Kluyveromyces lactis: one gene and its partners. The protein of the gene in region 2 interacts with the protein of the main gene of each other region in a pairwise test. Links are inferred from orthologs where the notes say so. Each region holds a gene or a part of one and is shown on either strand. Other genes may lie near its edges. The genes, in order: CCT6, STU2 and BIK1.

Region 1 (3,195 bases), on a different chromosome or scaffold from region 2:
CGCCATCAAGATGTGTAAACCAGGCGTAACTTTTCAATCCTTGGGAGACTGCATTGAAAAGCACTCCAAATCCAACAAATGCTCTGTTGTTAGGACTTACTGTGGTCATGGTGTCGGTGAGTTTTTCCACTGTGCCCCCAGCATTCCACATTATGCTAACAACAGAACGCCCGGTGTCATGAAACCTGGAATGGTCTTCACTATAGAACCTATGATTAACGAAGGTGTATGGCAAGATATCACCTGGCCTGACGATTGGACTTCTTCAACAAAGGATGGTAAAGTTAGTGCTCAGTTTGAGCAAACCCTTTTGGTCACCGAGAATGGTGTTGAAGTCTTGACGGCAAGGAACAAGAAGTCTCCAGGCGGCCCAAGAAATAGGATAAAATAGACCCAGTGAAATGACAATAGTTAAAAAATGAATATCAATAGAGAAAGTTACTGTTTACCTCGTTTCGTATAGGAAACAATCCATAAAACAGCCATCATCGTCGTCATAACGGACATCATTTCGGCATAGTCTTTCATGTGAATAGATTCAATACATATCATCATATAAATCAATTTACAGAAGACCAAAATATTTAGAGAATTCTCATTGAAAACCACTATTAGTATTTATTATACTGAAGATGTGCGGTCCTACTAAAGTATAATCTTCATCATCTTTGCATAAATATGAGGATCACGACAGCATGGATTGTTGCTTTGCTTCAATAACCGGGTAACCATTAGCTTTCGCCACTTCCAAAGAAAAAAAATTAATCGAAAACAGTGATCTAAGTTTTCTGATGGAGAAAGTAAAGCTTTTAATTATGGCTAACGTTCGGTGTTGAAGAAGAATAACATTCAAAAGAGTGAAAGATACTGTTGCATTTTCGTCCACAACGTTGATTCTAATAGAACCGAAATCAATCTATACTCTCTAATATTTAGTTGTGATATTCATTGCAGTCAATTGCTTGCATCTTATTATCCAGATCAAAAGTCATAATTTGACAATACCAATTACGTGCAGTGCATAATAGAGAGAAAGCAAGATAATTATGTCAGTTCAGTTGTTAAATCCAAAGGCCGAGTCCCTAAGAAGAGATGCTGCTTTAAAAGTCAACGTCACTTCAGCGGAGGGTCTTCAATCCGTTTTGGAAACTAACCTAGGACCTAAGGGTACTTTGAAAATGTTGGTCGATGGTGCCGGTAATATCAAGTTGACCAAAGATGGTAAAGTCCTATTGACTGAAATGCAAATACAGTCTCCGACTGCTGTCATGATTGCTCGTGCAGCCACTGCCCAAGATGAAATTACTGGGGACGGTACTACAACCGTTGTCTGCTTGGTGGGAGAACTGATGAAACAAGCTTATAGATATATTCAAGAAGGTGTCCATCCAAGAACAATTACTGACGGGTTTGAGATTGCAAGAAAGGAAACCTTAAGTTTTTTGGATACCTTCAAAATCGAAAAGAGCGCTGAGGAGGATTTGGATCGTGAATTTTTATTGCAGGTTGCCAGAAGTTCCTTATGTACTAAAGTCAACCCAGAACTCACTGAAGTTTTAACACCAATCGTCACTGATGCTGTTTTGGCTGTTCAAGATCCTAACAACAGAAATCTAGATTTACACATGATTGAAATAATGCAAATGCAACATCTATCTCCACAGGATACCACTTTTGTTAAAGGATTAATTTTGGATCATGGAGGAAGACATCCTGATATGCCAACCAGAGTCGAAAATGCACATGTTTTGATTCTAAATGTTTCTTTGGAATATGAGAAGACGGAAGTCAACTCTGGTTTCTTTTACAGCTCTGCTGACCAACGAGACAAGTTGGCTGCTAGTGAAAGAAAATTTGTTGATGAGAAATTAAAAAAAATCATCGACTTGAAGAATGAAGTATGTGGTATGGATTCTAAAGAGGGTTTTGTTATCATAAACCAAAAAGGTATCGACCCAATGTCATTAGATGTTCTTGCTAAACACAACATTCTTGCTCTAAGAAGAGCCAAGAGACGTAATATGGAAAGACTACAACTCGTCACTGGGGGTGAAGCTCAAAATTCCGTTGATGATCTTTCGCCTAAAATTTTAGGTTATTCCGGATTGGTTTACCAGGAAACTATCGGCGAGGAGAAATTTACTTACGTCACCGAAAACAGAGATCCTAAGTCTTGTACCATTTTGATTAAAGGTTCTACTCACCACGCTTTGACCCAAACCAAAGATGCAGTAAGAGATGGTTTAAGAGCTGTTGCAAATGTCATCAAAGACAGTGCTGTCGTTCCTGGCGCTGGGGCATTCTTCATTTCTGCTTCCCAGCACTTGAAAAGGGCGAATATGAACAAGCTAGGCGCCAAAGGTAAAGCAAAAACAGGTGTACAAGCCTTTTCAGACGCACTTTTGTCTATTCCTAAGACATTAATAAAGAATTCCGGATATGATGCCCTTGATGTACTTGCCCAATGCCAAGACGAGTTGGAAGAAGATGAGACAAGAATAGTGGGTGTTGATCTAAATATTGGCGACTCTTGTGATCCAACTATAGAAGGTGTTTGGGACTCTTATCGTGTCCTCAGAAATGCAGTAACTGGTGCCGCAGGTATAGCCTCTAACTTGTTGCTATGCGACGAACTACTCAGAGCCGGTAGATCTACATTGAAGGAAGGTCCACCACAATAATGAAGCTGGTACAATTAAAAAATATCACTGTCTTTAACGTAGGTTCCAAAATCAAATAGAATTATGTATACTAAATGGAAATAAATACGAAGTACAAGACTCAAGTTTGGCCGATGTATATGTAATATGCGATCTCTTCACGAGTGCTATAGATCCAAATCTACGTGTTGGCCAAATACCGTTTCCATCACCGAAAACGAAATACTAATATACTTCAAAAAATGATTAAACATCAAAACTGGAAGCACCTTTATAATAAACAGACACACCAAAAGTACAGAAAGTACGGACGAGAGTGAAGTCATTGACTGCAAACCATTGAACAGCATACCTCATCGGGATCACATATATACCAGAGTAATATGCTGAATTCAGAATTGTCCTTAAGAGACAGACAGATTCTGTCTATTGAAAAGATGCTACTGTTCAATTCAGATAAAGGAACGGAAGCAGCAACAAGCAATCTTGATGAACAAGAGATCGTTTGGAAAGTACTGATCATGGATGCTAGGAG
Region 2 (3,765 bases):
CATGAATAATGAGATCGATTTCTGTCAATCTTTGAGAGAACGTGTGAAATTATTGAAGGGAATTCAAACGAGACACTTATACGATGAAATTAAACCTAGATTAAGAGTCACCAAGGGTGTCCCAGAGCTATCGAGGGCGTTGAAGTCCCAAGGTTGTAAATTGGCAGTGTTAAGTGGTGGGTTCATCCCGTTTGCTAACTACATTAAGGAAAAGTTAAACTTCGATTTTGCATTGGCTAATACTCTGGGTGTGGAAGTGTCGGATGACGGTACTGAACAATTGAACGGTGAAGCACTCGGCGATATAGTTGACGGAGTGCGCAAGGCCAAGACGTTGGTGGCTCTTGCAGAACAGTACAATTCTCCGATCGAATCCACCGTCATGGTCGGAGATGGTGGTAATGATTTGAACGCAATGGCCGCAGCTGGGTTCGGAATCGCATGGAACGCCAAGCCAAAGGTCCAAGAACAAGCCCCATGTAAGTTAAACAGTGATACAATGATAGACGTCCTATACATCCTGGGGCACACTGAGAAGGAGATAGAAACCATGATCAAAGAATAGAAATGTAAAGAATTTATTCTGATATATATATAGTAAAATGTATATTATAAGCAGTGTACAAAAAATTTTACACGTTAGCAGCAATGGTTTGCTTGATAGCAGCCAAGTTAGCACCTAGGACTCTAGAAATTTCCTTACCGGACTTGAAGAAAACTAGGGTTGGCATAGCACTGACATCGTTGTTCTTTGCAACATCTGGCAACTCATCAACGTCAACCTTCAAGAAGGTAGCTTTACCCTCGTATTCCTTAGCGAACTTTTCCAACATTGGGGCAATCATCTTGCATGGACCACACCAGGTGGCAAAGAAGTCGACGACGACCAACTTGTCGTCAGTCAAAGCCTTTTCGAATTCGGATGCGGAAGTAAGTTGAGCGACCATTATATATGAAATTGGAGGGGATAGTAAAGATAAATTGTACCTTATTTGATGAGGATAGAAAGTTATCAGATTATCCGATAATCAATCGAAGAGACAACTAAATAACCTTTAAATGTATCTTACTTCCTTTATATAATAATGTTGGTTAAATATCGAGTTTTTGACAAATTTTTGCTTGCTAATCAGGAATCGAGAGCTGGAATCAGCTAGAACCCGTCCATTTGTAAGCAGGTGGAAGCGCCAACACTCGTGTAACGGTGTTTTGAATGGCTTGAATTGACTGTATAATGTTCAACCAACACGCATCAGCGCCGATTGAGTGATTGGAGGGGCGTGTACGTGTATAATAGATCCTACCCTCCCATTATTCAGGTTTCTGCAAACCCGATCCAAAGCATATCAACAAAGTCACGTGATATATCACATGACTTGAAATCAATCGTTTCTGTAAACAAAAACAATCAAAATCAACCAGTAAACAAACAAACAGACGAGACAACATGAATAAAATAGACGGTCAGTGAGTCAACACAGGGTGCTGCCAGCTGTATCGCGTGTGTATATCTCCCATGGATAACGCTACGGATGATTCGGCGTCTTTTCAGACTCTGTCACTAGATGAGAGACTTGTTCATAAGCTTTGGAAGGCAAGACAGCATGGATATAATGAGCTAGAAAGCACATTCAATAAACTGTCCGTTGCTAGAGTTGCAGAGAGTGGCGTTAATAAGTATTGGAAGAAACCTGAGATTTTCACGGGGTACGTATTGGATTCCAATGTTGTTGCACAAGAATCTGCCGTTAAGGCCTTGTACAGTTTGTTGAAATTTATGATCGACGTACCCCAGATCAGAGATTTGTGTCAGCCGGGTCAATTGGTTCAGGGCTGGGTTCCAGCTCTGGTGGAGAAAGGTATGACTTCCTCGAAATCAGCGACGAAAGAGGCTTCATTGGCCTGCGTTTCGCTTGTCGTGTCATTGGATGATAATATCGTAAATGCAATCAATTGTCTGACGCCGATTTGGACCAAAAAATTACCGAAGCTGTTGACTGCAGCGTTAATGGTTCATGTAAAGTTGATAGAGCAGTTTGGGTTCGTGAACGTTTCTCAACAGGAGAAGATGCAATCGTTACAGGGTCTAGTGGAAGTTTTACCTAAACTTTGCTCACATGCGGATAAATCTGTGAGGAATGAGTCAATGCAGTTGATTTTACAACTATATACATGGTTTAATAAACCTGTACTTCAAGAGCTTCTATTGGGGAAGTTGAAGCCCATACAACAGAAGGACCTGGATAAACTGTTTGAATCGTACCAGGGCACTATACCGCCTTCTTCAACACCGTCTCAGTTTATATGGGCAGTCCCGGCTCAGAGTGATAACAATTCAACTGATTTACCCTTGGATCATGACGGAGATCTAGCAATGGCAGGTAATAACGGCCAGTCTGCCGCTGCTCTGGATAACCAATCAATCGATCCATATGATATGTTCCCCGTACAAACTATATTAGATAAGCTACCGAATAATTTCTATCAGAGTTTGGCGTCTAGCAAATGGAAGGATAGAGTGGAAGCTTTAGAAGAGTTCCACGATCAGACTTTAACCAAGGTTAAAAAATTGTCAGCATCAAATGAAGATCATTCTGAAATCATTCACAAATTTTGCTCGACTATCACTTCCGATGCAAACCTACAAGCAGTACAAATATCTACCAGCAGTTTAGATATACTAATATCCGCATTAAGATCAGAATATAACCCATTCGCATTGGAAACTTTAAACGCTCTCCTAACTAGATCAAAGGAGAAAAAACCAAACGTCGCAGATTCTATTTTCAATGCTCTCCTGAACCTTTCAAAGTACTATAAATTAGAGCTATGTCTCGAGTCTGTGTTACAACACATGAAGAACAAAGTACCACAGGTAAAAATTGTATGCTCGAAATTTCTTTTCGAGTTGCTATCCAATTGGACACCGACTGAAACTCTTCATAGAACGTCGGTATTCTCCAATTTGCCAGCGATACTCAATTCTTTGCAGCCCATTGTAAACGACAATCAACAGGCAACAAGAAATGAGGGTTTCAAGTGTATTGCTATCTTAATTAAGATATTCGATGAAAGAGAACTATCAACATATTTGGACAAGCTCGATAACTTGAAAAGGAAGAAGATCCTTGAACTTGTTGATAAAGTGGAGATCAAGGCGGCAACGGTTCCACCTCCACACCAAACCCAACCGCAAACCCAATTAAGATCAGCGGCACCAGTAGTACGATCCCAACCCTTGTCTTCAACGATCCCTTCAAAACGACTGGCCACTTCTCCATTGAAACCGGCACGTAACTCTGCCTTGAATGGCAACACGAAGTCGTCCAGGTTGACTTCAAGGTCTCTAACTACTCATCAAATGATGAACCATACGGATCTGCCTTCCTCAACACAACCCAAATCTAATACCAGTTCCAACACAAGCCTCTCTGGCAATTTCACACCACAGACAAACATATCCAACAGAATGTCACATTTAAACGATGAAGTGAACAAATTAAGACAAGAGAGACAAGAATGGCTAAGGGAGCGCAACGATCTCTTATCCAACTTAAATCAATCCAATTTACAACTTTCCAAAGTAAATAAACTCTTGAACGAGTCTGAGACATACGTTTCCAATTTACAAAGGCAATTGCAGGATTCGAAGGATCAATTGAACGCTAAGAATTTAAAGATCAAGGAGTTAGAGAGTAAACTGACGGGCGGTACTTCCGATACCATGTCAACAGATTCACCCATATCCTCGTCCATTAGCAGAGG
Region 3 (2,599 bases), on a different chromosome or scaffold from region 2:
CTTTTTATGATGGCCATATTAAACACACCTCGATAGAATTGAATAAACCCAACAGCTCCAACCTTCTTCGTTGAATGTATGTTTTCACATTGGTCTTTGCACCAAGTAAGAAAAAACAGCTATTCTATCGTACTCATTGCAACCATCCTTCTGGATTTACTCATGGCCCTGGAGGCACTTAGAATATACCAGTGTTCAAAAGAAACACCCTAATGAAACCTAACAAAAAAGCCATCACTAATCACTTCTTTATTACCTTTTACCTTGTTCTAGTTTTACCAGTTTACCAATTTTCTTTAATGATATAATTACTGTATTGTAGCTAACGTCCGGAAAGTTAAATAGTGAACATCATTTATGAATACAATTACGAATAACTACTTTAGGAACCAGAAGCGGCTAGTTCTATTGCTGTTCAGCAGAATATCATCGCATGAAGTTCGCCTTGCTTTTTCATTTCTTGTTTGGAAGTCAAGATTCACGTGAAGGAGTTTTCTGTTCTATTTACCTTTTGTCATAATAACAATATTTACAGTCAATAGGCAAAAAACTAAAATCCTTAATCTATGGAGATACGATAGTAACAGACCTGAGGTAACGTTTCCAAATACCTTAATTACCAGTATTTTCTCAGCCTTTCCTGATTTTTCTTTGGTTTGGTAAATTTTTAAAACGTATGCCCAAAACACCTTCGTTTCACATCCCAACGGTCTATTTCTAGTGATGGATAATCAAGACTGTATAGGACTGGTAATTGAAGTTCCTAACATAGGTAGAGGGCAAATACGGTACATTGGCTCAGTAGAAACAAAGAAAGGAACATTTGTTGGTATCAATTTGTTTGCTGGCAATGGAAAAAACGATGGAACTTTCAGAGGCAGACGGTATTTTGAGACTTCTTTCCCTCAAAGTGGACTTTTTATCCAATGGGAAAAGATCGCCAACTTGATCCCAATACCTTCTAACCCTGAGGCAAATATGACCATACCACCTGCATCACCTACTCCCGTAAGGATTAACGCAAATTTTTTAGGGTATCATGAACCTCTTCAAAACAGTTTTCCTGAAATCAAGTCGCGAACTAGTATTTCAAATGTCATTCAACCGAATGACGATCCGATGCAAACTACTTCCTCGGACTTAAAAATGTTACAAACAGAGCTAGTTCAATACAAAAGACTAGTAGAGGATCAACGAATTGTATTCGAGGAGATCCAAGCTGCAATTGATGAATATGAGACTAAGTTGGATACCACAGAAAAGGAGAAAGTTCTACTTCAAAACCAACTCGACCATGAAAGAACGTCCCATCAGCGCCAAAAGCAGTTTTATGAAAGTGAACATGATCAGCTTTTGACTGTGATAGACGAGCTCCAATCTGAGATAAACCGGAATGCTGCCATATTAGCCGAGATTATGCAGAAGGAAAAGAAAAATTCCCTTGAAAATGATTATGTTATGCAAGATGAACCGAACAGTGATGCCCTTTTAATTAACGATTTAAGGGAACAGATACTAGAACTACAGCAACACAAGACTCAAGCTGAATTGCATAGGGTCCAATGGGAGAAAGAGAAGGAGCAACTGCAATTCCGTAACCAGTCGTTATCAAAAGAATATAAAAATTTGACTACTGAGATGACAGAGTATCAACAGAAATCCCATGATACAGAGACAAAAGAGTATACTCTCAACAAGGAATTAGACGATGCAAGGAAAAAAATTGGGGAGCTCGAATCCCGAGTCGAAGAATTATCCAAAAAACAGGAAGAAAATACACTTATTGTGGACAGTAACATTGAAACCTTGCCGTTATACAATCCAGGTGCCGAAGTAAAGTCAACTTTAGTGAATGCAGCTGCAGGGCGCTCGTTGTGGTGTGCTCTTTGCGAAAAAGACGGTCATGAATCAGTAGATTGCCCATACGACGACAAATTCTTTTAGAGTCAAAATTCGTCCCTTTTAATATCCATTGTTGTACTTGCATCATATATATAGCATACTTAGCGCATCATCATATAATGAATCATCTTATAATGAATTACCTACAGTCCATCAATCGCATCCGGACTTCTTCTTCGAGTTTTCATTGGCTTTCCTGTGTTTTTTTCATCATATGACTCATGTAATTCAGTGCATATGCGTTCAATCATATTTTCACAATCCACTGCAAAAATCAAGCCTCCTGGTATATAAAAATGAAAATATGAAATATGAAAAAAAAATAAGTTAGTCGTCATGCTTTATCAAATTTCGTTACATTCAGGACTGTCCACCTAAGACAAGAAGTCATAAAGCACCAGAAATGTTGCCTGTTGTACCTGTGTTCAATGCTGTCAATGCGTTGAAAGAAAAGACTTACCTTTACTTATCCAGTCAATTAGTACTTGATGGGAAGGATATGACTAAAGATGATATTTTGGAATTTGTTCAGAATAGTCATGGTCAAAATATTTCTGTTCTATTGAAAGACGCAAAATTTGAGGATGATGATCTGATTGTTCTATTGAATAATGGCGTTGTAACCTTGTTTATTGATTCTGATGATTATGCTGCTCATTTAGTTGAAATTGGGGTACCAAGCATCAGATTGACCTTA

What was found.
Region 1: the proteins of STU2 (region 2) and CCT6 interact in a protein complementation assay, tested with the Saccharomyces cerevisiae proteins (2 studies listed by BioGRID). The link is inferred for Kluyveromyces lactis from reciprocal best matches to the Saccharomyces cerevisiae genes STU2 and CCT6.
Region 3: the proteins of STU2 (region 2) and BIK1 interact in a two-hybrid assay, tested with the Saccharomyces cerevisiae proteins (3 studies listed by BioGRID, with this or other methods). The link is inferred for Kluyveromyces lactis from reciprocal best matches to the Saccharomyces cerevisiae genes STU2 and BIK1.

What each region holds. Positions count from the first base shown.
Region 1 is NC_006040.1:1,555,692-1,558,886, forward strand, and holds CCT6 (chaperonin-containing T-complex subunit CCT6), read left to right. Parts: upstream 1-1,046; coding exon 1,047-2,681; downstream 2,682-3,195. Other genes in the region: methionine aminopeptidase MAP1, read left to right, coding at 1-391; SLY1 (syntaxin-binding protein), read left to right, coding at 3,044-3,195. UniProt on the Saccharomyces cerevisiae protein: Molecular chaperone; assists the folding of proteins upon ATP hydrolysis. Known to play a role, in vitro, in the folding of actin and tubulin. In yeast may play a role in mitotic spindle formation.
Region 2 is NC_006041.1:1,461,099-1,464,863, reverse strand, and holds the start of STU2 (Stu2p), read left to right. Parts: upstream 1-1,516; coding exon 1,517-3,765. Other genes in the region: SER2 (phosphoserine phosphatase), read left to right, coding at 1-565; thioredoxin TRX2, read right to left, coding at 633-947.
Region 3 is NC_006039.1:110,890-113,488, reverse strand, and holds BIK1 (Bik1p), read left to right. Parts: upstream 1-723; coding exon 724-1,944; downstream 1,945-2,599. Other genes in the region: HIS4 (trifunctional histidinol dehydrogenase/phosphoribosyl-AMP cyclohydrolase/phosphoribosyl-ATP diphosphatase), read left to right, coding at 2,306-2,599. UniProt on the Saccharomyces cerevisiae protein: Required for nuclear fusion, chromosome disjunction, and nuclear segregation during mitosis. Probably required for the formation or stabilization of microtubules during mitosis and for spindle pole body fusion during conjugation.